2 linked regions of the Xenopus tropicalis genome follow. The protein of the gene in region 2 interacts with the protein of the main gene of each other region in a biochemical or structural test. Links are inferred from orthologs where the notes say so. Each region holds a gene or a part of one and is shown on either strand. Other genes may lie near its edges. The genes, in order: rhno1 and hus1.

Region 1 (16,341 bases), on a different chromosome or scaffold from region 2:
ATTTCAACTGAGAAATCCCCTTTAAAGAAAATCTCCCACCCTCCTGTGTATAACCCTCAGTGAGTTAGCCCCGCCCAACATTAAGTCCCACCTTCCAGCCAGGTTTGGCCACATGTTTAAAGTACGGGAAATGATCCTCGATCCAGGTGTAGATATCCTTCAGGGTCATGCGCTTCCTGGGGGTGCTGTTGATGGCGAACTGGATCAGAGCCATGTAGGAATAGGGGGGGCGCTCAGTGACAGAGACGGGCCATTGTGGATCAGGAAAAAGTTGCGATTCATCTTCCATCTGGGGTATTGGGGAGAGATAGCAGACTAAGGAATAGGACTAAATGCAGTAGGATATAAACACGGGGGGGGGGGGGGGGGGGGACTTACCTTTGGGCAGCCTGTCTCTGGGATCTGATTCTCCTTGTCCTCATGTTCTTCCTCCTTTATACTGTATTGCCCCAAGGACTCGGAGCTCATGTTCCCCAGCCACTGTATGTTGGACAGGCTGGCATTTAGCTGCTCCTCCTGCTGATGCTTGGCTATAAAGGGAAAGAGATGGCCAGAGATCATTTTCAACTTAGAGCAGTGGTTTTGCTACTGTTTGGCTTCAAGCTTTCCCCGGTGGCTTCCAAACTTTGGGGCTGGCCCTCTAGGACACCCAGTGTAAAGGCCACACAGGCCGAGATTTAAATAGAATTGGGATATGCTCTCCTAGACAGGGCCGCCATCAGGGGGGCACAGGGGGGACAGTTGTCCCGGGCCCGGCAAATCTTCACTTTTAAAGGGAGCCCAGCCGTGCTACAGTTTTCTGACTGGCTCGGGCCCCCTTTAATCTATTATGGCCGGGCCCTGTCATGTGATTGGTCGCGCCCCATGTGTACGTGACGTCAGTACGCACGGGGCACAACCTTTTAAAAGGGTCTGTCCTGTAGAGGAATGCAACGTCATTGGAGAAGATGGCAACGTCAGAGGAGAAGCAGCCGACTTCGGGAGGCACTGTCTATGGGGGGGGGGGGGGGGCAATTGGGGGCACTGTCTATGGGGGGGCAATTGGGGGCACTGTCTATGGGGGGCAATTGGGGGCACTGTCTATGGGGGGGCAATTGGGGGCACTGTCTATGGGGGGCAATTGGGGGCACTGTCTATGGGGGGCAATTGGGGGCACTGTCTATGGGGGGCAATTGGGGGCACTGTCTATGGGGCAATTGGGGGAGGGTCTCAGATGAGTGCACATTGTAATGAAGTGAATGTTACCTGCATCTGATCTAACACTGTGCAATACCTGAGCCAGCCCATTACTTTCCCTTTACACGGATCTCATTATACGTGCAGTACCTTTCCTGCTGCTCCCGGTGGGTTTTTTCTTGGAGAGGCACGCTGCTTCTGACTGTAAGGGCGCACTCTCTTCCTCTTTAATTTGGAGCGCTTGCTGCCACGCCTGAGTCTGGATAGCGGATTCGCTGCTGATGATGATATATTTGTTGGGGCCGCCGTTCTCTTTTCCTCGGGCGGTTAATGCTTGAATGATGCTCTGGACATTGGATTGAGAAGGAATGATCACCAGCTGAGTGTCCGGCGTTGTGGGGTGACCCACGATCCGTACCCCAGGAATGAAGCCTGGAACGCCTTCTTGACAGTTTTGCTGTGAGTTTGCTGGAAGTCCTATTCTAGGGGTGATAGGATCCCCACTTTCGCTCCCAAGGTTTGGCCCAGGGGCCCCCTGATGCGCTTTCGTCTTGGATGCCATATCTTCCAAGCCATGGACAAGGGTTTGCTCAGGTGGATTCGCCATTTTGTTCATGGCGGCTTTGCCCTGCTGGGAGGACCCCGGGCAGTCTGTGGCATCTTGACGAGGGAGGCTGAGCTTGCGTCTCTTGAGTATGAGTGGCCTGCGTGGGCTTGTTCTCATGGTGCAGTGGCACGGCCAGCAGCCATTGAGAGCTCAGAATGAAGACTTTTTATCAAATCGCTTTAAAAATCAAAACACAGAACATGTTACGTTTTAGCTGAACATTTGCCCCACAGTTTATCTATCACCCCCAAAAAGCTGGATGCCCTGCTCTGCAACATACATGCACATATCCATGGCATGAAAAATAATGGGGAATAAGAACTGCCCACAGATTGGCATAAAATAAATTCATCAGTTCTAGATCAGATCTACAATCATAGAGTGGGTTCTTGTTGGCGTTACATTCCCCAATGCCCCTCATTCAAGATCTAGTGCCTGGGCAACGGCCAAGGGATACCCCCAACAATACAGCAGCTGATGCATAGAATGATATGCTTTGTGCTATGGAACAAAGAGGAAGGATTACAGGCATTTATCTTACAGTATCCTTCATAATTACCTCCCTGCTCCTCTGATTGGTTTGTAATGGGAGCTGGACCAGCTGAAAATGTAGAACTGGTCCTTCTGTAAGGTTCTTGCTGTATGTGCGCTACTAGGGGGTCTTAGAGATCTGTTTCCTCCCAGAACAACAGACAGAAGGCAAAGCCATTGTATAACTCAACAACTTCATTATATGGGGGCACTAAGAGCCCCTCTGCACTCCCCCATTATCACACACACATATATATATATATATATATATATATATATATATATATATATATATATATATATATATATATATATAGAACATTAAGACATTCTGTGCATTAAGCTACCAATGCACAGAATATATGGACAGACAATCCCTGTTTTTGGTATGAGATCCCTTATCCGGAAACCCCTTATCCAGAAAGTTCCGAATTACGGAAAGGCCATCTCCCATAGACTCCATTATAAGCAAATAATACTAATTAACTTTTCTCCCTAAAACCAACATCTATTAAAAGAAAGCTGCTATTTCCGGGAGAATAAATGCATTATCATGATTACAGGTATGGGATCCCTTACCTGGAAACCCGTTATCAAGAAAGCTCCAAATAACGGAAAGCCTGTCTCCCATAGACTCTCTGTAAAAGTAAAACAGTACCTTGTAATTAATTCTTACTGGGGGCAGAACAGCCCTATTGGGTTTATTTCATGGTTAAATGATTCCCTTTTCTCTGTAATAATAAAACAGTACCTGTACTTGATCCCAACTAAGATATAATTACCCCTTATTGGGGGCAGAACAGCCCTATTGGGTTTATTTCATGGTTAAATGATTCCCTTTTCTCTGTAATAATAAAACAGTACCTGTACTTGATCCCAACTAAGATATAATTACCCCTTATTGGGGGCAGAACAGCCCTATTGGGTTTATTTCATGGTTAAATGATTCCCTTTTCTCTGTAATAATAAAACAGTACCTGTACTTGATCCCAACTAAGATATAATTACCCCTTATTGGGGGCAGAACAGCCCTATTGGGTTTATTTCATGGTTAAATGATTCCCTTTTCTCTGTAATAATAAAACAGTACCTGTACTTGATCCCAACTAAGATATAATTACCCCTTATTGGGGGCAGAACAGCCCTATTGGGTTTATTTCATGGTTAAATGATTCCCTTTTCTCTGTAATAATAAAACAGTACCTGTACTTGATCCCAACTAAGATATAATTACCCCTTATTGGGGGCAGAACAGCCCTATTGGGTTTATTTAATGGTTAAATGATTCCCTTTTCTCTGTAATAATAAAACAGTATCTGTACTTGATCCCAACTAAGATATAATTACCCCTTATTGGGGCAGAACAGCCCTATTGGGTTTATTTAATGGTTAAATGATTTTAGCAGGCTTAAGTTATGGAGATCCAAATTAAAGAAACATCTGGAAAACCCCAGGTCCCGAGCACTCTGGATAACAGGTCCCATACCTGTATATATTAATAATGGGGGAGTGCAGAGGACCTCTTGTTGTTGTTGTCTATATGAACTTTGCAGTCACAGCTTTATTGCACCTCTGCCTAATGGTTTAATCAGGGGTGCTCAATCTTTTTAAGCAGGGGGCCAGTTCACAGTCCCTCAGACTGTTGGGGGGCCAGACTATAGTTTGTCCCACACCCCTGGCTATAACTGGCCTGCCTCAGCGTGGTCCTTGGCTGCATCACGTTACCCTGTCACACCCGCCGATGCTAATGTGTCCAGCGAGGGCCACGCTGAGGCAGACAGGTAGTAGCCAGGGGTGAGGACACAGCAGGGGTAGGTAAATGCCCGTGGGGGGCCGTAGTTTGAGGACCCCCTGGTTTAAAATGTAATGGTCAGCACAACTTTCCCTTTTTTTGCACTAAAGCCAGAAAACATGTTAAATATCCTCAATTTGTAAATAAAGTTGCCATGGCTGCGTGGTTTCATCACTAGCACAGTGCCAGCGGCAGATAGTGCCCAAATATACAGTAGCTGGGCAAGTGGCCTTACTGACCCATTGCGGGACCCCCCAGCAATACAGCAGCTGATGCATAGAATGATTTGCTTGGGGCTATGGAACAAAGAGGAAGGATTACAGGCATTTATGGTACAGCATCCTTCATAATGAACTCCCTGCTGCTCTGATTGGTTAGTAAGGAGAACTGGACCAGCTAGAACGTTATTCTGTTAGGTTCTTGCTGTATATGTGATACAAGGGGGTTAGAGATCCCTTCTCGTGTGTTTCTAACTTTATTTTCCAACCTATACTAATTCCCTAATAACACCCGCACTGCTACAGAGTGAGCGACAATGGCTCTAGCACCCCCCTTTACTGATTGTTAAAGCCCCTGTCCCCTCCTCATTCACTGAATAGGTCACTCATTACCCATTGAATTGATGGAGGAGGAGGGTGAGGCAGACAGAAGGCAAAGCCATTGTATAACCCAACAACCTCATTATATGGGCGCACTAAAGCCAGAAAACAGGATACATTTTCACAATTGGGAGATAAAGTTGCCATGGGCAGATAGGGCCCATATATATATATATATATATATATATATATAAAATATGTGGCTGAACCATTGCAGGACACCCCCTCCCCCAAAAGACCATTAAGACATTACAGGTGGGTTGTAGTTGAACAACAGCGGCTTCCATAGAGTGGAACATGACAGTTCCATATTGAGAACTGACACCCCCTACACCCACAGGCCTCCATGCTCCTTCTACACAAGCCTTGCACCCACCCTCATACACACACAGCCCCAACTTCACGTCCGATGACGATCTAACCCGATCTAAATACCTGTTTATAAGACGGTGTCAATATCGGGCCTTTCCGTGGTTTTTGAATTTTCGCGCTTTCGGGCCCGCTTAAACCCACGTGACCACATCGACCAATCCACAGCGCGTCCCTAGCGCGTCACGCATCTCTCGACCAATCGCGCAATCAATCAACGAGTTCCTTTGGCAAAGAGCCAATCATAATGAGCGAGTTATAGAACGCTCGCCGTAGCCAATCGGTGTCGGGGAAAGAGAGAAGCCCTAACGTATCCCGGAAAGAAGGGGATATTACAGCGCTGGGCCGGAATGTTCGGGGGCTACCTGTCCGCTTATTAAGGGTTTGTAGCTGTCGGTGGGTTGTGGGTGCAGTTGTGGATAACAAATTGATTGGTGGGGAACATGCTGATTGGACCTGTTTGTTTTAAACGGAATCGGAGCCGTCATGTTGGGAGCGCCATCTGTGGGTAACTCATGGTATGACAGGAGGCAGAGACTAATGACTGTAGCACTCAGAGCTTGGCTAACGTACAGGTATGGGACCCCTTATCCGGAAACCCGGTATCTAGAAAGCTCCGAATAGACTCCATTTTAATCAAATAATTCAGAATTTTTAAACCTGATTTGTTTTTTCTCTGTTATAATAAAACAGTACCTGTACTTGATCCCTTGATCCCTGGCAGAACAGCCCTATTAGGTTTATTTAATGGTTAAACGATTCCCTTTTCTCTGTAATAATAAAACAGTACCTGTACTTGATCCCAACTAAGATATAATTACCCCTTATTGGGGGCAGAACAGCCCTATTGGGTTTATTTAATGGTTAAATGATTCCCTTTTCTCTGTAATAATAAAACAGTACCTGTACTTGATCCCAACTAAGATATAATTACCCCTTATTGGGGCAGAACAGCCCTATTGGGTTTATTTAATGGTTAAATGATTCCCTTTTCTCTGTAATAATAAAACCGTACCTGTACTTGATCCCATCTAAGATATAATTACCCCTTATTGGGGGCAGAACAGCCCTATTGGGTTTATTTAATGGTTAAATGATTCCCTTTTCTCTGTAATAATAAAACAGTACCTGTACTTGATCCCAACTAAGATATAATTACCCCTTATTGGGGGCAGAACAGCCCTATTGGGTTTATTTAATGGTTAAATGATTCCCTTTTCTCTGTAATAATAAAACAGTACCTGTACTTGATCCCAACTAAGATATAATTACCCCTTATTGGGGGCAGAACAGCCCTATTGGGTTTATTTCATGGTTAAATGATTCCCTTTTCTCTGTAATAATAAAACAGTACCTGTACTTGATCCCAACTAAGATATAATTACCCCTTATTGGGGGCAGAACAGCCCTATTGGGTTTATTTAATGGTTAAATGATTCCCTTTTCTCTGTAATAATAAAACAGTACCTGTACTTGATCCCAACTAAGATCCCTTATCCGGAATACCCTTGGTCCCGAGCATTCTGGATAATGGGTCCTATACCTGTACCAGCAGCAAGTATAAGGATTTAGAATCTAAAAATAAGGCAGTGGGATTTTACAGGCAAAGCCAAAAAGGTTTGATCTATTTTAGATCAAACCTTTTTGGCTTTGCCTGTAAAATCCCATTGGCTTATTTAATGGGAGGCTTATTTGCCCACTGCCTGTCAGTGTTCTGCACCTCATACTAATCCTGCTGTCCCTCTGTTTTTGTGCCTTAGGGCTGATTTTCCTGGATACAGCCATTTGTTTATTGCCCCTTAGCACCATGTGGCTGCTGGCGTTCCTGCCATTAACTGCCGATGCCTCGTAAGAAGCAGACCTCATACAACGCAAGCAAACCACGCCTGGTGTTCCTGGAAAGCCCAAAGCAGGGTCTGCGCCATGAGTATGGACTACCCCCTGACAAGGCGGCCCACCCTGTATGTGTGCCCACCAAACCTCTGGATCACAATGCATCCGCCTCTTGGGTAAGTGTTGGGTATTTTTTCATTGCTACATTAGTTTGCTTTGATTCAGGAGGGTGTTAAAGCTCTGGGCTACCCTGGGATCTAACACCCCCATTCATCAGAATGGCATTCAGCTGTTTACAGCAATCACAGTCTGACCAAGGGATACGTTGCTTTGCATTGATGAATGTTAAGGGGTTGTAAACCTTGCTGCACTGCTCAACCAAACTTTATTTAGTTGTTGCTGGACTATAAATCCCAGAATAATGTAATATATGATAGTTCAAGCATGCTGGGAGCTGTAGTCTAGCAACATCAGGATTGCATTTTTAAAGCAGTATTGCACAATAAAACTATTCCCCAAATCTCCACAGCCAGCAACTGCTTTATAATGCAAAACAATTCTCCAATGAGAATCCCTGATTCTGTAACAAGATATAGGCTTCTAAATGTCATCAGCAACAGGCCCACTGAACAGTTTGATGCCCATTGTGCCATCTTGGAGTCAGGAAGGAATCGTTTCCCCTCTGGGGCAAATTAGAGAGGCTTCAGATGGGGTTTTTGCCTTCCTCTGGATCAACTAGAAGTTAGGCAGGTTATATATAGGCATTATGGTTGAACGTGATGGACGTACGTCTTTTTTCAACCTAACTTACTATGTTACTATGTATATTGTGCATAGGTTTACATAAGTATAGGGCATGTAGGGGCCCCAAAATAAAAATGCCCCCCCATATGATCTGTCATTTTAGTTACTGCACAATCAACATATTTACTGCATTTTATGTGGGGTAAATCCTGCCTAGTGACAAGGAAGAAAAGGAAAGGTAGGGTTTAACATCATAGGGGCATATTAACCCTATGGGTCCCTACACATACAATGACAAATCACCCTAAATATGAATGGCCAATGGCCTACTGAACAGTTTGATGCCCAATATGCATAGATATACCAAAGTCTGCGGTATGTACTGACCCCAAAATGAAAATAGCGCATAAGGATTTCTCGTCTGCAACTCAGCTTTTGCACACAGAGCCCCCTGTCAGTGTATTATGTGCAGTAACCCCCCCCCTAACTATACACAGACCCCCAGAAAACCAGTGTCGAACTGGGGTACCTGGGGCCCATCAGAGAACCGCACCCTAGGGACAAACCAAACACAAAAGCTGTTGCTGCGACCACCACCCACCCCCCTACTATGTATGGAGTCCAGCTACACGTTACACATTTATCATCTGCAACATTTCACCAGCAGGTTTCAGTGAGGCCTTCAGTATTTTGGTACCATATATTAAAGGAGACATATCCTATAAAAATTATAAATGTACCAGGGAATTATGCTCCTCTAGATATAGACGGATTGTGCTAAAAAAAAGTTGTGTTTCAGACTGATTTATTGAGAAATTCCCCCAAAACCCCACTAGCCCCGCCCATCTGTTCCACTTCCTGCTGGCTGAATTCTCTGGATGTTCAGGGGAGCCGGCGGCACTCAGTACACTGCACTGTAGGATAGGAACCAATCAGCAGCTAGGCTGACCTGATAGGGAACTGAAGCCTGTCTGTGCTGGTGTGACTGCAGGGCTGTGATTGGCTCTCCCCCTCCTACTGTGCTTCTGGCAGGGACTGTTAGGACACGCCCACTCGTCATTTCAAACTCTGACAGAGAAGTGATACGATCTATAGGGAGCTCCAATAAAGGAGCCATTGTTACAGATAGGGTTAATTTTTTGCACAAAGGGAAACCTGCACCGTGTATTATTTGTAATTGCCTACAAAATTAGGGATTTTTTTACAAATACCACACCTATATAACAGCAATTACACATTGTGACAGTGCTGCAAATCATAACAGTATGTAAGATTTGTGATGTGCTGAGTCTGTTTGCCTACACCATTGCAAGGGAGAAATTAGCCAATGGCCTTTCAATTTATGCAGCTGGTTAGAGTGCACAAGCAACCAATGAATTGGCCCAATAGGGAAAAGGTAAGGGATGTGATGATGTAAGCATATAGGAAGTTGTCAGTGTGTCAGGTTCTCCCATCCAGGGAGACAGGGAAAGGACATGGAAGGTGAACAACCCCTTTACATATGTTTATAGAATGGCCTATTCATAGTAACCTTTCAGTTGGTCTTCATTTTTTAAATTTTTCTTTTTTTATATAGTTTTTGAATTATTTGCCTTCCTCTTCTGTGACTTTTTACTTTTCAAATCGGGGTCACTAACCCAAAAACTATTGCTTTGTGAGGCTAAAATGTTATGGTTACTTTTTTATTACTTATCTTTCCATTCAGCCCCTCGCCTACTCATCTTCCAGTCTCTTATTCAAGTCACCGCCTGGTTGCTGGGGGAAATCGGACCTTAGCAACCAGACAGCTGCCAAAATTCCAACCTGGAGAGCTGCTGAACAAAAAGCTAAATAATTCAAACACTGCAAATAATAAATGAAGACCAATTGCCTCATAATATCACTGCCTACATTATACTAAAAGTTAATTTAATGGTGTAGATTGTAAGCTCTTTTGGGCAGAACCCTCTTCAGCTCTTGTATCGGTTATTGATTGCTTTATATGTTACTCTGTATGCCCAATGTATGAAACCCACTTATTGTACAGTGCTGCGGGATATGTTGGCGCTTTATAAATAAATGTTAATAATAATAATGGTGAATTTCCCCTTTAATCTGTGTCACTGTTATGATTTTCCCATGCACTAAAGACAAGGTATGTGCTTCCCTACATAGGTTACCCCGCAGTTTGACCAGACGGAAGAACTGCACTTCCCAGCGCGCCGGAGGCTCCGCCATATGTCCAGCAACACCACTCTGCAGAACCGCAGTGAGCTGAGAGGGAGCGGAACCAGACCCGGTGCCTGCAAATTCCCCTCCTTATCATTTACAAAGGGGACTGTAAAAGCCCCAAGAAAACGGTCGGTCTGTGCCAGGCCAAAGCCAACGCTTCCCAAACGAAGGGAAAGAAATGTGTTACTGTCTCCCCTTCCACAAGAAGACTCATGCAGCAATGTACTTACCCCCCCAGATGTACGGACCCCAGAAACCAGCCTTAACTGCAATACAGAGTTACCCAATGGAATACCCGTGGGCAGGTCCCCAGACAGAGGGCAGGATAAACCAAGGGATGGCTTTGACTCCCCGGTGATGACCGGCCCATCACATGTACTGGCAGAGGATACACCAGAGCACGAGTATGGGGTGAAAAACACGTGGCGGCGTAGGGAACAACTCATGACCTACCTGAAAGCACGAGGACGGCTAAAAAAAAGCCAAATTGTGGTACAAGTGTGACTCAAGGCTCCCAGATTCATTTATCACTGACTGACTTGCGAGCGGAGCCTCTGCTGAACTGCTGTACATAGGCAGGGAGCGGCCTATTGGATAAGGGTTTCTGTCACTCACTATAATGAATTAAACCTCACTATGCACTTTTATTGTTGGACAGTTTTGGTTGCTTTATATATGCCTTGGTTCAGAAGAGAACCACAATGTAAGCACTTTACGGGCTGCTGAAGTCAAAGTAAAATTGCTCAAAGTGCTCTTCGGAGCACGTCCACACTGCTCAATTAATATGGAGGCTCTGACTGAGGGAAATGTATGGCTGAGCTTACAGCCAGATGGAAGAGGCTGTTTCCTTCCAGGCCAGTATCTGTAGTACCCTTCGTAAGGTCCCCATACACCTTCAGATCCGCTCGCTTGGCAATGTGGGGCCAAACGATCAAATTATGACGACGGGTATAGGCAATGTCGGTTCGGGGACCTTATCAACGAGCCGATGTGGTCCCTGATCCAATTAGATCAGGGGTAGGGAACCTTTTTGGCTGAGTGAGACATAAACACCACATATTTTAAAATGTAATTCCGTGAGAGCCATACAATGGCTGACGGGAGCAAGGCCGAAGCCAGGGCCTCGATTTTCGGCTGCCTGTGGAGGACGATGTGGCTTCAGGCCCATTCGGCCGCGGATGCTGCGGGGGAAGGTAGTGTGGGTGTTATCTTTAGCTGTTCACTATGGCTTGTTAGTGGTATAACTAGAGGGCTACCTAGCACAGTGCACAGTTGGCTTCTCTTTGTAGCCCCAACAGAGACATATTGGCCACATTTTAATTTCAATTCAAGCGTGAACTGTCACAGGTTTCTGCTCCAATGTCCCTCTCAGTTCACTGGGCTCTGGTTCAAGTGCAACCCGGTAAGGATGCCAGATGCGGAGGAGGGCGTGGCCTGCGCTCGGCGCATAGAAGACGTGTTCTAAGGCTTAGAACACGTCTTCTATGCGCCGAGCGCAGGCCACGCCCCTCGTTATTTTTTTTTATTAAAGATTTGGCAGAGAGCCAGATGCAGCCATCAAAAGAGCCACATCTGGCTCCCGAGCCGTAGGTTCCCTACCCCTGGGCTAGATTTTCTAACCTGCCCGATCGACATCTGGCCGATTAGCTGCCAAATCAGTCTAAGGGACCCATATTGGCAGCTACAATTGGCCCGTGTATGGGGACCTTTAGGTACAATCATATCTTGTCAGTGATCTGTTACAAAGCAGGCAATGCTCAATATGGTGCCTCATTAGATAAGTTGCATATTTCAATAACAAGTCGGCAATTTATTGGCTTGTGTAGGGGAACATCTTCCCAACTGATATCCGGCAGATTTGAAAGTCTCATTTGGTAAAGACAAGGCAAGATGATTCCGTCCTGTAGCTCATGTACCGGGATTCACAGCCCTATTTGAGCATCTGGAGAGTTCCATAGCCAGGTTTCATGGGTAAAACTGATCATGCCATGGGCCAATGAAGGCTGCTGAGCACTTTGCCCATAGATGCGTGCCTCCCAACACATAATTGAAGTGTCTGTTGGGCAAATATTAAAATCCCACTGGGCAATGAAAGCATCAGCTTATTGATATCGTCCTTGCCCAGTGGGTACCCATAGGCCACGTCTTAATCCAGTCATTCGACAAAGATCTGATCAGCCCAATATGGCCGAGTGGATCTTTAAAGAGGCTGCTCACCTTTAAACTGTTAAAAAAAAAAAAGTTAAGCTGCCAAATCGAGTCCTTCAGACCGATTTGGCAGCTTATCTGGCTGTGTATGGGGTCCCCCGACTGGCCTCCCTGATGGCGAAAATCGGGCAGGTGTTGATCAGTCAGGTTTCATTTTCCCATTGGATCGAGGATCGCATTGGCTCATTCATTCGGCCATTTGCCTGTGGCTCCTTTACCGGAATGTGGCAGGGGCCTGTCTTGCTAAGGAACTACCGGGGGGGGGGGGGGGGTACATTGTTTATGGAATGGAGGTTTCTAACAAAAACAAAAACTAAAGCTCCATAAGGAATTACACTTAAAAAGTGCTTTGGGGCTATTGTACATGTCTATTACCAGAGAAGATCTGTGCTTTGGAGATGCCCCAGTAGCTCCTCATCTTCTTTTCTGCTGATTCCCAGCACATGCTTTGGGCTGCTGTCACTCAGGGACCCACCTACAGCACAAACAGTATATAAAATGCAGAATACAAGGCTGATTAGTGACTTATTCAGAATTACATTACATGGAAACCAGTGCAGTCTGCATCAAAGTTGATTAATAATCAGCACTGTAGCATCAGCTTCTATGGCACATGTGACTGCTAATGTATAATGATTTCTTCTAATCTCCCATAGCTTCTCAGCAGCAGCCCAGATATGTACCCATATAAAGGCACAAGGCTGAGTTATACAGGGAACCCTGAGTATCACTCATGTATTATAAGGGATAATGTACCCCCTACTGTAAATGATAAGGATATTAGCAGTCACTGAGGGGTTCTGTGCCCATATAAAGGCACAAGGCTGCAGGCTGAGTTATACAGGGAACTCTGAGTATCACTCATGTATTATAAGGGATAATGTACCCCCTACTGTAAATGATAAGGATATTAGCAGTCACTTGAGGGGTTCTGTGCCCATATAAAGGCACAAGGCTGCAGGCTGAGTTATACAGGGAACTCTGAGTATCACTCATGTATTATAAGGGATAATGTACCCCCTACTGTAAATGATAAGGATATTAGCAGTCACTGAGGGGTTCTGTGCCCATATAAAGGCACAAGGCTGCAGGCTGAGTTATACAGGGAACCCTGAGTATCACTCATGTATTATAAGGGATAATGTACCCCCTACTGTAAATGATAAGGATATTAGCAGTCACTGAGGGGTTCTGTGCCCATATAAAGGCACAAGGCTGCAGGCTGAGTTATACAGGGAACTCTGAGTATCACTCATGTATTATAAGGGATAATGTACCCCCTACTGTAAATGATAAGGATATTAGCAGTCACTGAGGGGTTCTGTGCCCCCCATATAAAGGCACAAGGCTGCAGGCTGAGTTATACAGGGAACTCTGAGTATCACTCATGTATTATAAGGGATAATGTACCCCCTACTGTAAATGATAAGGATATTAGCAGTCACTGAGGGGTTCTGTGCCCATATAAAGGCACAAGGCTGCAGGCTGAGTTATACAGGGAACTCTGAGTATCACTCATGTATTATAAGGGATAATGTACCCCCTACTGTAAATGATAAGGATATTAGCAGTCACTGAGGGGTTCTGTGCCCATATAAAGGCACAAGGCTGCAGGCTGAGTTATACAGGGAACTGTGAGTATCACTCATGTATTATAAGGGATAATGTACCCCCTACTGTAAATGATAAGGATATTAGCAGTCACTGAGGGGTTCTGTGCCCATATAAAGGCACAAGGCTGCAGGCTGAGTTATACAGGGAACCCTGGGTGACTAAGTATCTTCACCTAAAAGATATATATTACATTTTACACCATTTATAACAAAACGCTAGAAGGTATTTCGGGTGCCTGAATATAAATAATACATCTCAGCACACTCTAATCTGAAGTAAATGCAGGGCAGACAGGGAAGACTTTTATTGTTCTACCAATGAGTGTTGACAAATCTGTTAAAGCAATAATATTTGAAAACTACGAGCTGTAGAAAGCTGCAAACACTCGAACGCCCCGCCCTTCTTGCTCTCCCTTCCACACACCCTCACCCCCCACCAGCCCGCCCACACTCGCTCTCCAAGGCTCTGCCCTCACCTCAGTCGCTTTTTTGTCAAGCCAGCCAATAGGCTCTAAGCTTGTTGTGCTGCCGACCAATGGGAAGGCGTACTACTGCGTGGTGCGGTTGCTAGCGCCGGTTGCCAAGGGACAGAAGTCTGTGAGTGCCTAACGGGACAGGGAGCTGCCGGGATGGAGAGGACCGGGGAGCGGAGCGGAGGGACCAGGTACCGGGAGAAAATGACCGATATTTGTGTTACTAGAAATGGATTAGGCACTCACAGGCCGGACAGTACCATAAGGGAGGGGGCGGCAGGACCTCCTCTGTGTAGATTCGGAATGTACCACTGTGCTGTTGTGCAGGGGAGGGAAGGGGGATACTATGAGCTGAAGTTTGGGGGGGAAAGCTTTGCTTCTTACATTCTTAGTGAGGAACCCTGGTCTGGAGGGTGATTCATTTTCTCCTGCCCCCCCCCCCCCCAGATTCTTAGGGGTCCTATCGGGGTGACTGTAGAGAGCAAAGTAGAAAGTACATATCTTATACTGTATGGCAGTTATATAAAGACCTCCAACTACAGCTTGCCCAGGGGCATTCTGGGAGTTGTAGTTCAGTAATCATTGCAGATGCCAGGAACCAAGTAGCATAGGCAATATCCCATTCTGAGGTGGGACTAAATAATAACAATATGGTAAGTGGGGGGCTCCAGGTTAGTGTGCCTGGGAGAGGGGTACAGGTATGGGACCTGGTATCCAGAATGCTCGGGGCCTAGGGTTTTTCTGGATAAGGGATCTTTCCGTAATTTGGATCTCCTACCTTAAGTCTACTAAAAATCATTTAACCATTAAATAAACCCAATAGGGCTGTTCTGCCTCCAATAAGGGGTAATTATATCTTAGTTGGGATCAAGTACAGGTACTGTTTTATTATTACAGAGAAAAGGGAATCATTTAACCATGAAATAAACCCAATAGGGCTGTTCTGCCCCCAATAAGGGGTAATTATATCTTAGTTGGGATCAAGTACAGGTACTGTTTTATTATTACAGAGAAAAGGGAATCATTTAACCATTAAATAAACCCAATAGGGCTGTTCTGCCCCAATAAGGGGTAATTATATCTTAGTTGGGATCAAGTACAGGTACTGTTTTATTATTACAGAGAAAAGGGAATCATTTAACCATTAAATAAACCCAATAGGGCTGTTCTGCCCCAATAAGGGGTAATTATATCTTAGTTGGGATCAAGTACAGGTACTGTTTTATTATTACAGAGAAAAGGGAATCATTTAACCATTAAATAAACCCAATAGGGCTGTTCTGCCCCCAATAAGGGGTAATTATATCTTAGTTGGGATCAAGTACAGGTACTGTTTTATTATTACAGAGAAAAGGGAATCATTTAACCATTAAATAAACCCAATAGGGCTGTTCTGCCCCCAATAAGGGGTAATTATATCTTAGTTGGGATCAAGTAGAAGGTACTGTTTTATTATTACAGAGAAAAGGGAATCATTTAACCATTAAATAAACCCAATAGGGCTGTTCTGCCCCCAATAAGGGGTAATTATATCTTAGTTGGGATCAAGTACAGGTACTGTTTTATTATTACAGAGAAAAGGGAATCATTTAACGATGAATTAAACCCAATAGGACTTTTCTGCCCTATAAAAAAATAGCCCAAAACTGTACCTTGGCAGGTTTGTACTTTGGAAACCTGCCTGGGCTTTAAATTAGTAGTTGGCGGAAAAACAGCCAACCTGGCAACCCTGCTGTGTCCACCCCTGTTGGCAGCCAATGGAATTAGGATCAAATGTCCATCAATGACACTCCCAAAGGTCACTTTCTGAACCGTGCAGCAGCTGTTTAGGGGCACTCAAGCTATGCACAGTACAGGAAAATCCCTACATCTTGACCAGTGTCTGCAAACCTGCAAACGTTATTACTTCATTATATTTCAGTGCTAATGTCCCCATTTTGATTCTAACCAGAACACTGTTCTCCCAGTGTTTTTGTGGCTTCCTCCAGATTCCTACAACACCCAGGCAGGTTAACCGGCTCCTGATAAAACTGCCCCTCGTATAAGTAACTGTGATAGGGCCCTTAGATTGTAAAGGTCCCCATACACAGGCCGATTCTAGCTGCCGATATGGGTCCCTTAGACCGACTCAGCAGCTTATCAGCCCGTGTAGGGGCACTACCGACGGCCCTGCCCGACCGATATC
Region 2 (15,818 bases):
TAAAAATGTTTACAATATATTCATACAAAATGCTATTATTGCCTCATTGATTAAGCTAAAACTAGCATATTTATGCAAATGTGAGGTAAAAACTTTTATATATGATATAAATTGAACTTTATTTTTTAAGTGTTTTACTTGTTTATAAAATATTAATGAGGCTTTTTGTACCCATTGTTCTAGGGTTAGACAGAAACTTGTTCCCTAACAATAGGATGCTAATCTCCATTAATATGATAAGAATCCCCCAATGGGACCCATACCAGAGGTGTGTGGAGACTGGGTGAAACAAAACAGAACACTGAGCTTTACTCCATTTTGAAAATATCGGGGGAAAAAATGTTGTTAAAACGTCATATAAATGTCGTTTAAACAACAAATTCACAAGTGTCTTTAAACAGTCTTTATTTCACCAAAAACGGAAAAGTGGCGGTTGAGTCAGAATTTAGGTGGATTTCTGTTTGTGAATCTGGAGAAAGTGTTTTTCATCAGTTTTTCAACCACTTTTACTCCAAAAAAGGGCTCTTTCCAATTTTGTGAAATTCCCCCCATAGAATCTGATAGAATCTGTATCCCTACTATTGATTTTTTTTATGGAAAAAGTAATAAGCATTTCCTGACCTTGTTGGTGTTCTTGACTTCCTTTCTTTCAGATCAAACAAAACACTGCTGTGAAAGCCTTCCCCTGGAACATGTATAGATTTTAGGCACAGGATATTGGGGTTCATCAGTAACCTTTTTAGCTGTTTGCCAATAGTTGAAAAAAAAAAAGCCAGTGACTCGTGCCTACTGCAGAAACTGGAAAAAAAAGTAGGTTTCTCCTTGTTTCTCCACTTTTTTTTTTAATTTATACTGTTCTGCTGCCCCATTTTCAATCCAAACTGATTGTTACATTCTAACCCTTGAGTTAATTTTGAGGGGAAAAATATTCTTAGCAAAACTTTGTTTTTGAAAATTTATTGGAAAAATCCAGAAACTAATCAGTCTTCAACAGTCATAATAACTGGATAATGGCAGACCCCTTCATTGGCAATTCATATATTTCCACAATGGTTCAGTCCTATCTAGTCCAGTCCTCTGGGGACTATTTGTGAGAATTGTTCTTGGCAATACATCTTGTTCCCCATGATTTTTATGCACATAGGAACCGAGAGAAACGGATTCCTAACAGCCCAGCCATTCTTCTCCCAAAACATTCTAGTGTAATACTGAAACAGAGAAGCTGGTCTCTGGTTCGCTGAATAATAATCATATAAATAACAAATGTGGACATACCAAATAGCAGTAATTTACTGCAAAATCCATTTAAATCAGTCAGTAGTAGACATACTGAAAGGAGAAGGAAAGGTACAATCACTGGTGGGGGGCACCCCCACTGATTTTAACCACTTACCTACTATCCCAGCCGGGGCTTGTTAACGGAGAACTGCATCGGCCTGGGGTACCTGCTAGTGAGTGATTCTCTTCCTCTCTTTTAGATCCCAGGGCTGAGGCATGTGCAGTAGAGTGAAAAAATCAGCTTTTTTTTGTTACATTTCAGCTTTTCACAGTGGCATGAAGACAGAAGAAGGAAGAGCATTGCAGTAACAGGAGCGCAAGGCTGGGGTATCAGTTAAGTCAGTGCTGTCCAACTTCTGTGGTACCAAGGGCCGTAATTTTTCCAACCTACGTGGTGGAGGGCCGATAATGGAAGCCAGTTTTGACCACTCCCCTTTTTGAAACCACACCCGTGTTATCACATGACCATACCCATATTAATGGTTGTAGTACAGCAAAAACCTGCCATACTCTGCCTTCCCTACCCTGCCTGTGTGTGCTATACTCTGCCTGCCCTACGATGCCTGTGTGCCACACTCTGCCTTCCCTACCCTGCCTGTGTGTGCCACACTCTGCCTTCCCTACCCTGCCTGTGTGTGCCACACTCTGCCTTCCCTACCCTGCCTGTGTGTGCGCCACACTCTGCCTTCCCTACCCTGCCTGTGTGTGCCACACTCTGCCTTCCCTACCCTGCCTGTGTGTGCCATACTCTGCCTTCCCTACCCTGCCTGTGTGTGTGCCATACTCTGCCTTCCCTACCCTGCCTGTGTGTGTGTGCCATACTCTGCCTTCCCTACCCTGCCTGTGTGTGCCATACTCTGCCTGCCCTACCCTGCCTGTGTGTGCCATACTCTGCCTTCCCTTCCCTGCCTGTGTGTGTGCCATACTGTGCCTGCCCCATCCTGCCTGTGTGTGCCATACTCTGCCTGCCCTATGCTGTATGGCACACACAGGCAGCATACAGTGACACAATGCTGGCACTGCTCCTACAGTCTGCACAATAACTATATATTAAAAAACTTTTGGTGGGGGACCAAACAGAGGGGGGTCGCCAGTTGGACAGCACTGAGTTAAGTGATTACAGTCACTGAAGGGTGCCTAACACTCCCCCAGTGATTATACCTTTCATTTCATTCTTTTTGTGACTCAATAAATGTATGTAAGCAGTAAAAAAAAAAAAAAAAAAAAAGTACATTTGCTCTTCTGAGCATTTTTGCCGCTTCATTTCATTTCTGTTACTTGAACTGCATGTGTTTCAACCTCTTTATGGCATCATGTTTAGCGACCAAAGCAGCTACTTAAGTAGTTAACATATGTTCCTGTAATTCAATAGCAAATAAATTACTAACACTATACAAAGGTTTCTTAAGTAATAATTTTGAATGTGCTTAAATGTTAAGTGAAGCCACCATGTATGATCTTACAAATGCCAAAGTACTTCTGGGTTTATAAAATCCTCACATCTGAGAGGACTGTCTCTTGAAAGAAAAACAAATATTGCAGTATATTTGCAAATTGTTGTTTATGTAACTTTTTTTTATTGGGACTGCAATCACGATGATGTAAATTCCCAAGAAAATTTTTTTTTTTTTCAGCCTGCACACTGGATTCTCAAGCAAGGGCTGGGATGAAGTACTGCAGGGAGACATCTTCATGTAGCAAAATAAAGTGAACCATCCGTTTATGAACAATATCTGAAAGAAAGTGAATAAATTAGTTCAGCTGATTCAAATTTAACCTATCATACAGGAAGTACTGCAGAGATCTCTTCAAGCAGGGAAAAGTGGACCACTGGTTATAAACAATAGCAAACAATGGGAAAAACGTCAAATTAATTAAAATTAAAACCTATAGGTAAATGCCCCAGAAAAGTGCAAATTAGCACTAACATCTTAAACATGGAATTTACCATTGGATATTTACCTTTATTATTGTAACTGGATAAGTGCTAGACTAGTAGTTCCCAAACTATGGGGCTGGCCCCTCTGCCTTAAGCAGTGGCAGGTGAGGCTCAGTCCTAAGGAAACGTTATTTGCTATCCTGCATAATAAAAATGTGGCTGAAATGTTTTCTATATATTTAACCTTCATATACTTTTTTTTTTTGTAACTTAAAATTTTTTATTATTTTTTCAGTGCATGGTTATTACATTGTACCATTGGCTTTTATATTATACATTCTTTGAGTAGCATATTAAAAAGAAACAGTACATAATGCAAGTGCCTTATTGTCATCTATGGAAGTTATACTGAAGGCTAAGTGATTAATATTATGTATGAGGGAGAGGGAAAAGAGGTGGAGGTATACAGATTAAGAGATCAAACCATTTAACAATTGGATGCATGATGAAAACATATAACTATATGAGTAAGCCATAAATGAGAGTAGAGGGAGGATAGGGGATAGAGAGGAGGAGAGCGATTAGCTTAGTAATAATCCTCATGGCGGTCTGGGTGTGGAAGTGATAGGGGTAGAAAAGGTTCGGTCAAGAGGCTAGGCCTCGGAGTCCCCATATTGTCCAGACTTTCATATATTGTGCAACTTTGTTTTGAAGTACTGCTATCCCGTGTTCGAAGATCCTGTTTGTATTAGTTCTTTTTATTATTTCAGCCAAAGTCGGTTGGTTTGTGGTTTTCCAGTTGGAGGCTATTGTTAGCCGGGCAGCTGTGAGGATATGGTTGACCAAGGTCTGGCCGCTTTTGCATAGTTTTGTGAAAGGTTTTCCTAGAAGGAAGGTAGGCAGGTCTGTCGGTATCTGCTGGGAGAAGATCCTGCTAATGAGGTCGGCTACATGTGACCACATTTGTTGGATCGCTGGGCACTCCCAGAATATATGCAGAAGGGTTCCTTGTGCTCCACAGTTTCTCCAGCAAGTTGATGGGCAGGTTGGGAAAAATTTATGTAATTTGTCTGGGGTGTGGTACCAGAACATCATGATTTTGTATATGTGTTCTTTTTGCCTGACACACATTGACATTTTTCTGGCGTTGTCCCAGATGCTTGCCCATTCCTCGGGTGTAAGTGGTTGTGGTAGCACTGCGTCCCATTTGTCCATATATTTGTGCTTATAGGGAGGGTCATCTGGAGGAGTAGTGAGTAGATTGTATATGATAGAGATGAGTCTCTTTTGTGGTAGGCCGTTGCGAGCTAGAGTTTCAAATGCTGTAGGGCGAGTAAGCCTGGTATAAGTAGCATATGGTTGTATGATTGTATGAACCTTCATATACTTTATGCACCCTGGCAGAGTAAGATTTTTTGTGTGTGTGAAAATACAGCTGATTTTGAAAGTACACATTCTGCTGAATCTGAAATTGGTACTTAGGAGTAGAAAGACATGGGTACCCATATTAAATATACCTGAATGTGTAATTTACAAAAATATATGGTTTTGGGTGGTCAATGTGTTTTTATCCCACAATAATGCAGTAAATGTGTTGAATTTTCAATAAAGATAAGATTTGGGGCAATTTTATTAGAATATTCCTAAATTTCAATAGAAACAGCTAAGTTCATAAACTGATTTATCGCGCAAATTAGTATTAGTCCCCATTATTCAACATGGTCAGTCAGTAGTGGAGATTTTATATCCCTACATATATATATTAAACTGGTGATTCCAAACAGGTCAAATGGATCAATATTCAAGGCACATCTAATTGAAATGTAACTGAATTGTAGATTGTTTTCAGAGGCAGCATTGCTTTTCAAGGTGACATTTCTCATTGCTGTACAAAACCGAAGGTGGTAGACCACAATGCAATAACTTCACTAAAAGTAGACCCCTACATCAGAATCATTTTCACTCCATCCCAAACAGTTTGACTTTGTCTATACTACTGCTGCTGGTGTTTAGAAAAAAAATTAATTGTATTAATGCAACAGCTTATATTATTATCACACAGGCATAAAAACAGAAAAAAACACAAAACAAGGACAAAAAACAAACTTACTACATATAGCTTTGGTAGGATTGACCTGCTGTCCTGCAAGGAACTGCAAAAGTTTTCGAATGTCTATTCTTGCCTCTGCCATATTATCTATTTCTTGAGTGCTATTTTGAGAGGCATCATCTGAAACTGAAATTCAGGAAAAAAAAGGAACTTAGAAAATCAACTTCAATATTCTAGAAAATAAATATACTGCTATGAGATCCAGTATCAGGAAACCTGTTATCTAGAAAACCTCAAAATATGAAATTGCAAGAGTCCTATTAAAACAAAGTTTTTGTTTTTTACGGATTTGTTTTTACTTTGCAATAAGTCAGTGCCAACCGCTTCATGAAAATATAAGGTGGCCATACATGATAAGATTTGCTTGTTTGGCAAGGTCACCAAACAAGCAGATCATCTCCCGATATACTCAACTAAAGGTGGCCAATATTTAGCTAATTCGACTCTGAAGCTGAGATCTCCACACGTATGGCCACCTTAAGGCAGCAAAAGTGCATCTTGGTGGCAAAATAATCCCACAGGTTGGTTTTTACATTTTTTGCAGTTTTAAGGCATCATATGCTCTACATTATGATGTGGATGGAATGATCACTTATCAAGAAAACCCCAGATTTTTGGCTTGCTGTGCTTCAGAGATGCTGGAGGATACACAGATGGGTGAAGATGATGGATAGTTCCCTGTGGAAAGTGAGAATCGCTATACAACATAATTCTAATAATTATCAGAAGTATACCCCAAGGAGGATTTCCCAGATCTTTGAAATGAGTTGAAACAGAAACTAAGTCAGTTTCTATCTTCAGGTTAATTTCTCCATTTCTATTGGCTTCAATTACCTTTAGATGAGAAGAACAGACAGACAAAACAGACAAAAAATGTTAATAGTTCAGTTGAAAGGGTCCTAACTCCAAATCACTTTTTTTTTGCATAATGAAACTCAATGTAATTCTAAAAAATGCATAGTACAGGAAATTACAATTCACTGTGTGCACAAAACATGTTTTCTCTGCTTTAAAACATGGGAGTGGTGGGAGACCGCCATATTGGTTACTGCAACAATATTCTTCATATACTCTGCAAAAATAACCAATAGACACGGGGAATCTCATTTATCAACCTTCTCATTTTCCTGGTTTCAGAGTTTTTTTTTAAATCACATCTCATGTCCACTAAAACCATGAATTTATTAAAAGATTCAAATTGGAAAAAAAAAAAAAAAAAAAGCACAAACCAATTAAAATACAGAATGAAAACCACAAAGCTTTCTTGGTTTTTCCACGAATCTGGCTCGTTTCGTACGATATTCGGTGCGTGTATGGCAAGTCGGTGAGTCGACCGGTATCGCAGGAGGCTGCTGATATCGGTCGATTCGCCGATAGGGCAGGTCAAAAGATTTTGATCGGGCGCCATAGAAGGCGCCTGAGCAAAATCTGCCGTCAGGGCTGAATCGGCAGAAGGAGGTAAAAATCCTATTGTTTCTACCTCCTTATCTGCCGTTTCAGCCCTGAAGGTAAGTGGCGGGTCTGACGATCTTTCGCGCGACGCAGATCGCCACGTGTGTGGCCACCTTTAGTGGACTTTCAAACAAACAAACAAACAAACAAAAAAAACACCTCTAAAAGCATGGATCAAATAAAAATTATTACAATCTACTTAAGACAACTCCCGCTGACTTTTTCATGACCTTAACAGCTTTTAGATGGAGTCCTGTATTAGTGGTTTTCATGCATAATAAAATTACCAAAAATGTGGTTTTGTGCAAAAAACACAAATCGTGAAAAAAAAAGAAAATACGAACATTAGTACATGCCTACTTAAGAGTGTTTTCTCATTTGTCTTAGGAGAAATCTGCACAGGCATTTGTTGGTGGGTACATCAGTAGAGGATAAGGGAGGTCCCATTTTACCTCCTGTGAGATCAGTTGTTGAGACCACTAAAGCATTAGAACATGGACACAGCACAATACCTGCATGTTTGGTCTGAACTTTTACCATCAGCTAGACTATGGCCACCTTAACTGAAAAATAAACTTGTAGCCTCCTTTTTTGGTTTGCAAATTATGTTCTAGTGTCTTCTGGAAAGATCTACTGGCGATTAAGGAACCAAGACAGTTTGTTGAATGGTCTCTTACAGTAAATATGTAACCTTAAGTGGCTCTTTAACATTGTGAACAGCAGCAACATTGGCACCATCATAAAATCCCTTTAGGCAAAGGGCACACTGAGTGGTGGCTTCGCTGCTTTCAGCCTCCGTTTCTTCTGCAGGCTAAGAAAAACAGATCTGCTACTTTTGCATCTCCATGTATCTGCGCTGAAAAACTACTGCGGAGGGAGCGGAGGTCGGCCGAAAAAACACAAAAAGCAGGAAATTTTGGGGATGACCTCCACTCAAGCAGAAGCTGTACTTTGCAGATACATGGAGATGTGAAAAGGAGCCGATTTGCTTTTCTCCTGCAGAAAAAATACAGGCTAAGAGCAGCAGAGCCAATGATCAGTGTGCCGAAGGCCTTAATAATTTACCTATCCTTCTCAGGATTACCTCTAGCTCCAAGTAGTTTTGTGTACTGTATGGTGCTCTATAAATAGAACACACTTAAATATCCTTGAACAGCAATTTGCATACCAAAAAAAGGGTCATTGAGAGTATAACATTTTGAAATGTGATTGTTTTCCCCTTCTGTCAATGACAGAAATGGAGCAAAATTGTTTTAACAATGTGTATATCAGACACAAGAGCATCATTACTTTACCATGAAATAGAAGCCAGTATATTTCAAACCAAATGTCCAAGGTTTAAATCTCCTATACTTTTTATATGCTTCATCTCCTCTGCCCCACATTCCCTTCTCTTCCTCATTTATTTATGCTCTTCCCCTTATTTCTCCAGGCATTCTCAGGTCCTACTTCAACTCATTCATTTATTTCGGGCTGCTGTCTTATGGGGCAGATTCACTTTGCTTTATGTGAGCTGTTTGCACAGAACATAGTGAGCTTCCATGCTCTCAAGATTAAGCAGTGCTGAGATCAGTTAGTAAGTCATTTCACTTACTGAAATATTTTTGCTAGAGATAAAATTCTACTATGTTCAGTAAAAAAAATTCTCACTGACACCACAGGAAATTTGCAATCTGACGGTCTCAATTTGACATAAAATACACTGCATTCATTATATAACCTAGCATTTATAGATAATACTATAGAAACTTTTTAATGGGAAAAATTGGCTTTCATAAAAAATTATTCAAAAATAAAAAAAAAAAAACACAAGGCTTTGCAATCTTCTAAATTAAAAAAACAAATATATATATATATATATATATACTTACTATATAATTGCTTAAGTTTTTCATCCTTTCAACGACACTCTTCATAGTTTTTAAAGCAGGCAAATAAATGCTTACCTAAAAGGGAAAAATATATATACAGTGATGTAAAGTAATGCATACCTGAAGCTCCTTTTGAAAAGAGCGGTTTAGCTACTTTAAATCGTCTCAAAGATTCTACATGTCCTTAGCGACAACTGTAAAACATCATAAATATTAATGGCATTGATCATGTAAAGAATTTAGTACGCAAACTGTAACAGGATGTGAAATTTTTACAGGCATAAATAATAAATAAAAAAGTCAGCAATTGCTTATTAGAGAATTTTTAGTTATATGTAATGGCGTCTGCCAACCCTACTGCACTACTCCAATACAATTAACCAGACAGTGACTGGTGTAATGGGATTGCCAAGACAGAAACTTTTTATTCCAGGTACTTTAGGACAGTGGTCCCCAACCTTTTTTGTGCCAAGGACCGCTGGCAAGCGGGTAAAATTTTCCACGGACTGGAGGGTGGGTGGGCGGGGTTGCGCGCATGCTTTTATGGGCGCATATTCAGTGCGACCAGGAACAGAGGCGGCCCACTACAAAGCAGCCGGCGGCCCGGCACTGGTCCGCGGACCGGTGGTTGGGGACCCCTGCTTTAGGAGCCTACTAGGGTAGATGCAGTTTAAGGTCTGGTACTAACTAATATTAACAAATTTATCTCCAGTAATAGTGTGGATGAGCATTCAGGGAACAGTGATCATAACACGGTCCTTTAAGATTATGTTACACAAAAAACTAAGAACCTAAGTCTGAGAATTGCAAACTTAAGCAGTATAAGGGCATTTTTGAAACATAGTAGCTGGGGAAGACGTTTCCAAAATGGAATGCCTTTAAAATGCTACCAAACAAATATACCTGTCAGTATAATGTACTTGTAAGCAAGAAAAGACTTAGCAAAGCAAAACCATTAAATACTTACATCAAACTCAGGAACGCTTGGTTCTTTAAAATCATTCCAGAGTCTTCGTGGAATAACACTTACAGGAATGTCATGTGTAACAATTCGACTTGAACTTGATAAAGAAGGCTGAGTGAAAGAAAAAAAAATTGCACAAATCTTGACAGCATGCAGAAATCAATAAAATACCAAATCAGTAGTTTACAAAATTCTGAATGTAGGCATTCAAAAAGCAAGTACTGCATTTTCATAACATGGAAGAATCTGTAAATTATTAAAAACAAAAAAAATGCTTGCACAATCTTTTTGTGGAAATGTAATATTGTTTCCCTATGTATTCTCATGTAAATTAACCAACAAACTGAAAACCGTCTTAGGTTGCAATATTCTAAAACTGTATTGCATTTTAAATGTATTTAAACGAAAAGGAAAATAAGAATGCTAGGATTTGGACAAAGAGCACACTACTAGTTTACAACAACCTTTTATTTAAAAAGTTTACTTGCTTTAGGTTAATACCCCATGGGGAGATTAGTCACCCATAATAAATTCCTTCAGTCGATTTAGCGATGCATATGCCTTCCCATCGGCAGTTAACATTATTGCCAGTGGGAAGGCATTTCGGGGAGATTAGTCACCCACGGTAAGCAGAGATTTATCTCAGTCAACTAATCGCCCCATAGGGCATAAGCCTTAGAGCGATGGCACATCACTGCTTCTGTGAGCGACTAATCTCCCCAAAATGCCTTCCTACAGGCAATAAAGTGAATTGCCAGTAACCCAGTTATACCCAGGGCTTCATTTTTCGAAGTTGCCTGAAGATCCCTGCACAGGACTTCAGAAAACAAAGCGCAGGCCCACAGAAAATGTCTGTTATATGGTATGCTACAAAACAAAGTTTTGAAGCAAAACATCAGTCTAATAGTGGTAAGTTAAAAGCATGTGAACAAGTTAATAACTCTGCCCCACCCTACATCTCTGAACTCATCTCTAGGTACCACCCAACCCGCTTGTTACGCTCCTCTACTGACCTGCTCCTCAACTCCTCTCTCATTCCCTTCCCACACACTCGCATTCAAGACTTTGCAAGGGCTGCCCTCCCTCTGGAATTCGCTCCCACAAACTGTCAGACTTTCTCCCAGTCACTCTGCCTTCAAGAGATCCTTAAAAACGCATTTATTTAGAGAAGCTTACCCTAATCTAGTTTAACATAACCTCAGTGTGCTGCTAAAAGCAATACCCTGAGCCACACCTCTCACAACTCTGGTCATGCCCATTCCCACACCTTGTGCCTCAACCCTTTCTCCTTGTAGATTGTAAGCTCTTTTGGGCAGGGCTCTCTTCACCTCCTGTATCGGTTATTGATTGCTTTATATGTTACTCTGTATGTCCAATTTATGAAACCCACTTATTGTACAGCGCTGCGGAATATGTTGGCGCTTTATAAATAAATAATAATATTAATAATAATGATAAGTGATATCGTAATTTCCTAAAAATGTACAACTTGCAAAATGTAACTTCCTTCACAGGATTCATTTTACTTTGGAATGAAGCGACACACAGGCATTCAACTAAACAAAAGTTTGTGTATACCCAGTTTTAGGCCAACTGACCTCCACATTCATAAGAAACCAAGTCAAGGCTTACTGCAGAGTACTCCTAAAGAAGATTACATATAATGGCCTACACCAGATCTTGCTGCTTAACAAAATAACTATAGTTAAAGTACAATATTCCTTTATATGACAGCATTTTTTTATGTAACTTATAATTATAAAAGTTTCTCTGCCTTAATGAACTACTTGAAATGAGCTTCTTGAAACACTTGTGTTATTTTTAGCTGGCTGAGTGGGAGCAAGATTCTGAACTATATAGTTACCCAGAAATAAATCACTTGAGACAATGAATGCATAACAAGGGTGGCTTGTTTTTATACCATTACATCACTTTTATTATCTATTCTACTACAATTCCTCCCCTTCTAAGTTTAACTCCTTCAAATAATCTCAGTGGCAATCTACCCTCTACTTTGGCTCATATCACTATGAGAGCAATCATGTCAGGATGAAAGCAATGTTAGGGAAAAAAATAATATTAACAAGGAGCTAATTATATGGGAGGGATGAAATAATGGCTGAACTAGCTTCACCTATAGCGAATTGGAGAAGGCCAACCCTGCCTCCTGACCTAGCTACTTGTTGGATTTAAGGCTGATGCCGCAAGGGTGTATTCTCGGCAAGCCAAAAAACCCTTGCCGATAATACGCCCGCTACTGTAAAAGTGTCCTACCTTGTGCCTGGACCTGAACGAATGGAATACGCTCGGATGCAGGCATATGTAGCTGATATCCACCAAAAAACGCAAGACTTCATATCTTCTGAGGATATGACCTACATGTGCCTGAACCCGAGCATATTCCATTTCACAGGTAGGAGCGTATGGCATTATTTTCGGCAAACGATATTCAGGTTGCCGAAAATATACGCCATATGCAAAGTGTGGCATCAGCCTAAATCAAGACGATAGGCTGTCACTGCAGCCTTTTTCAAAGGCTGAAAAAGGCTGCAGTGACAGCCGAAACGTTAGTCTGTATTAATAAATTTTCTGTTTATTGCACTAAGACCTGTGAGTGCGGCATCCTTGCTATTTTTGTACTACACTTGTATATACTGCACCCAGGCATTTTTGGCTCCATTTTCACGCGAGTGCCTGCTTTGCATGACTTTATATATATATATATATATATATATATATATATATATATAAAACTTTTATGAATTGCTTCCTGCCTCTTACTATTTCACCCTTTATCTTTTTCACATTTTCATAACCACTCTCCTCATGTATGTTCCTGAATCAGCTCTCCCACAACCCTATTTATTATCATATTATGTGATAGAAAGGGGTGGGGAAGTAATTTTGTTCTTACCATGCCTACAGTATCGGGGTCTTATCGTATCCTCATTTATACTTGCCCGATTGGATCGGTGTGAGACAGTTTTGAGTGTCAAGGTCCTAAGAAGTTATTTACAATTATCCAGAACAAGTGCTAGAACACAAAGGGGTGTAAAAAATCACTGTGTCTAGAAGAGTTGACAGTGGGGTAGTGTAAAAAACTAGGTGGCTTTTCCACGTGTTTTTTGAACTTTGACATTAATCTAGAGAGATCTTTTCCTAACAGCAGGAAAAGGTGCACACAGATTATGCAATTTATGCTTTGCTTATAACCTTTGACTCTCTTCTGGGCTTCTGCCTGTCTCTGAAACTCTCTGCCTCGAGCCATCAGTCTCTCCCCTTCCTTCCAAACACTCCCTAAAAACCCATCAATTTAGGAAAGCATATTCAATATATCCCGACTGATCCAACATTTATTTATGTATCATATATCATCAATCTGTTTCCATATTCCTTTTGTACCCTTAACCCCTTTAGATTGTAAGCATTTGCAAGTAGGGCCCTATGATTCTATTGTTACTCAAAACCCTTGATGGTTAAATCATTGTAAGAGCTGTATAATTTGCTGGCGCTATAAAAAAAATGTATAATAATACTTACAAACAACATTTGTAAGAAGATTTTACATACAAACATGCCTTCGTAGACAAAATACAATTATGCCGATATAAAATTCAAATTTCCTTACCAACTCTAGAGCCACTGTCAGACATGGGCAATGCTTGTTTGTCAGTTTTACTTTCACAGATTTAGCATTCTGAGCAGTTTTTAATGCTCGGGAAAGATTTTCAGGTATCAGCTCCAAGAAGATTTCATTCTGCTCCATGCAAACACCTTCCATTTGATATTCATCAAAGAAATTGCCCTGAAATATAAACAAAATTCTCAAAAAAAAATATCCTAAACCCATTGACCTTGTTTAGGTTTTGGATCATTTCAATCAATGTATTGAAAGTAGTCAAGCCTTCGTTTCCTGTTACAATAGCCTTTAGTTTTCTGGAAAGGCTTTTCTCTAAATGTGAGAATATTTTTAAGATTTGCTTCCAGCCACCCACAGAAGCATGTGTGAGGCTGACCAGTGACAAAGCTTGATCAGGCCTGGCTTGCAGACAGTATTTCAATCACAGGCGTTAACTGGTTAACAAATGTTGCTTGATGCATTTGTTATTAGCATGCTGAAACAGGAAAGAGCCTTCACCAAAAGAGAAAAAAACATGGTACTTACACCAGGTAAAGGAAATTCATATCTGGTGCAAGTACAGTGCTTTAGAAAACAGAAACAGAGGGTCATATATGCTTGGCAGCAAACTTTAGCATTGGTCGTAATAGCGTTCTTACATAGAGCCCTGGTTGGATTAAGACAGATGTAAGAAGCTCAAAAAGCTGAAATACAGGACTGTGATTAGTCCAATAAGAATAGTAGTTACCAAACTCTTTAAAAACTTTTTTTCTTTTTAATAAAGGCATATTTGAACGAATATTGAGCAACCATCCTAGGAGTTTGATAATTACATGTATTACCAAAGTGGATTACCTGGCTAAGCTCACACCACATACTGACTCCTCCATTGGCTACCTTGTCAGTTAGAATAAAGTACAGATTGTTAACGGTGAGCCTGAGGGTACATGTCTTTGTCAGCTTGCTTATTGTATTTATGACTCCTTCAGAAGAGAAATCAAAGAAAGAGAAAATTAAAATACAACACACACGTTACTGAAACACAATTACAATGCAGTGATACTGATGCATTCTTCATGTTTTATTGTAATACTTTAAAAATCTTCCTTGCACTGATGTAACATAATAAAACTACGATTTTGCCTCTCCTCAACCACTAGTTATTACTATTGTTAGTAAACAGTAACGCCATACTACTGTCATTGCTCCACCCCCACCAGGACTATTACAGCAGTCATGGAAAGAAGGCATGGCGAGAGTCCAAAACCAGAAAAAAAGACTGCTGTACCAATGATGTTGAACTAACAATTACCCAATAGGTTGGAACACTGATGTAAGCCGTGCCTTAAAGAGGACCTGTCACCCAGGCATAAAAAGCTGTATAAAAAAAAAAAAGCCCATTGCAAATTATTATATTATATAATATGTGCCCCAAACTCATTTTTTTATTAACACATCCAAACCCATTATAAAAGCACTTAAAAATTCCAATTGTCAATCATATATTGCCTGCCCAGCCTCTATGCCTAAAGGTGGCCATACACGCACCGATATTGTCGTACGAAACCTCGTTTGTACGATAATCGGTGCGTGTATAGTATGTCGGCGAGTCGACCGATATCGCAGGAACCTGCTGATATCGGACGACTCGCCGATCGGACCAGTTGGAAAATTTTGATCGGGCGCCATAGAAGGCGCCTGACCAAAATTCTCCCTTCAGATCTGAATCGGCAGAAGGAGGTAGAAATCCTATTGTTTCTACCTCCTTACCTGCCGATTCAGCCCTGAATAGTGTGTGGCGGATCTTACGATATTTCGTGCGACCGATGGTCGTACGAAACATCGTCAGATCGCCACGTGTATGGCCACCTTTAGGCATAGAGGTGGGGCTGGCAGTTACTTTCACTTTGAATTCAGAACTTCTTACATGTTGCTGCACTCCTCACATTCCCCCCCCTCCTCACAATCTAATTTTGTAACCAGTGCATAGACATGGCATCAGGTCCCCCCATACTGACACAGAAATAAGATTTTGGCAGGATGCAAAGCTTGCCTTAATAACAGTGTCCACAAAATGATACCTGCCTGCTTACTGCAACTGTGAATTCCAAGGCTGAAGATTAAACTAATTTATATGGTATAAGTGAAGTTTATTTTGCTTGACAAACACAATTGAAAACAACCTGGAATTATTTCTTAGGGTGACAGGTCCGCTTTAAGCCACAGTTGATGGGGTGTCCAATGTCTGACACAGCTAAAAGCCAACTAGGAGGGACCAAGGTGGTTAACATTAGATAGGTGCCATTTTTAATATGGATTGATTTTTGAAACTCTGAAAATTCTAATATCCTTATAAAACTTCAGAAGGGGCCACATCACTCCCGATATAAATTATATCCACATTCACAGGACCTAAACAAAAAAAACACAATAAGTTATTTGGCAGGCGAGATTGGTAAGGAGGGGGAGCCCAGCCCAGGTACCTAGGGAATGGACTTGCGCATTGCCTGGACACGTAGGGATAATTCCCAGAGCCCCACCTCCTGTGGCAGGACAAAATATACTGCCGGTGGGAGAAGAGCACTGTGGATACTAGGGGAAGGTGGAGGCCCTGATGTCTGCACTGACAGGACAGGCCGTCATGG

What was found.
Region 1: the proteins of hus1 (region 2) and rhno1 form a complex in vitro, tested with the Homo sapiens proteins (2 studies listed by BioGRID). The link is inferred for Xenopus tropicalis from reciprocal best matches to the Homo sapiens genes HUS1 and RHNO1.

The regions. Positions count from the first base shown.
Region 1 is NC_030679.2:10,380,856-10,397,196, forward strand, and holds rhno1 (RAD9, HUS1, RAD1-interacting nuclear orphan protein 1), read left to right. Parts: upstream 1-5,352; 5' UTR 5,353-5,456; exon of another isoform or gene 5,457-5,649; intron 5,650-6,834; exon of another isoform or gene 6,835-6,877; 5' UTR 6,878-6,915; coding exon 6,916-7,083; intron 7,084-9,805; coding exon 9,806-10,366; 3' UTR 10,367-10,509; downstream 10,510-16,341. Other genes in the region: foxm1 (forkhead box protein M1), read right to left, coding at 92-289, 379-530, 1,327-1,900. UniProt on the Homo sapiens protein: Involved in microhomology-mediated end-joining (MMEJ) DNA repair by promoting recruitment of polymerase theta (POLQ) to DNA damage sites during mitosis.
Region 2 is NC_030682.2:59,391,903-59,407,720, forward strand, and holds the end of hus1 (checkpoint protein HUS1), read right to left. Parts: intron 14,157-15,818; coding exon 14,029-14,156; intron 13,360-14,028; coding exon 13,183-13,359; intron 9,666-13,182; coding exon 9,558-9,665; intron 8,666-9,557; coding exon 8,591-8,665; intron 6,102-8,590; coding exon 6,002-6,101; intron 5,394-6,001; coding exon 5,268-5,393; intron 3,012-5,267; coding exon 2,929-3,011; 3' UTR 2,821-2,928; downstream 1-2,820. UniProt on the Homo sapiens protein: Component of the 9-1-1 cell-cycle checkpoint response complex that plays a major role in DNA repair. The 9-1-1 complex is recruited to DNA lesion upon damage by the RAD17-replication factor C (RFC) clamp loader complex.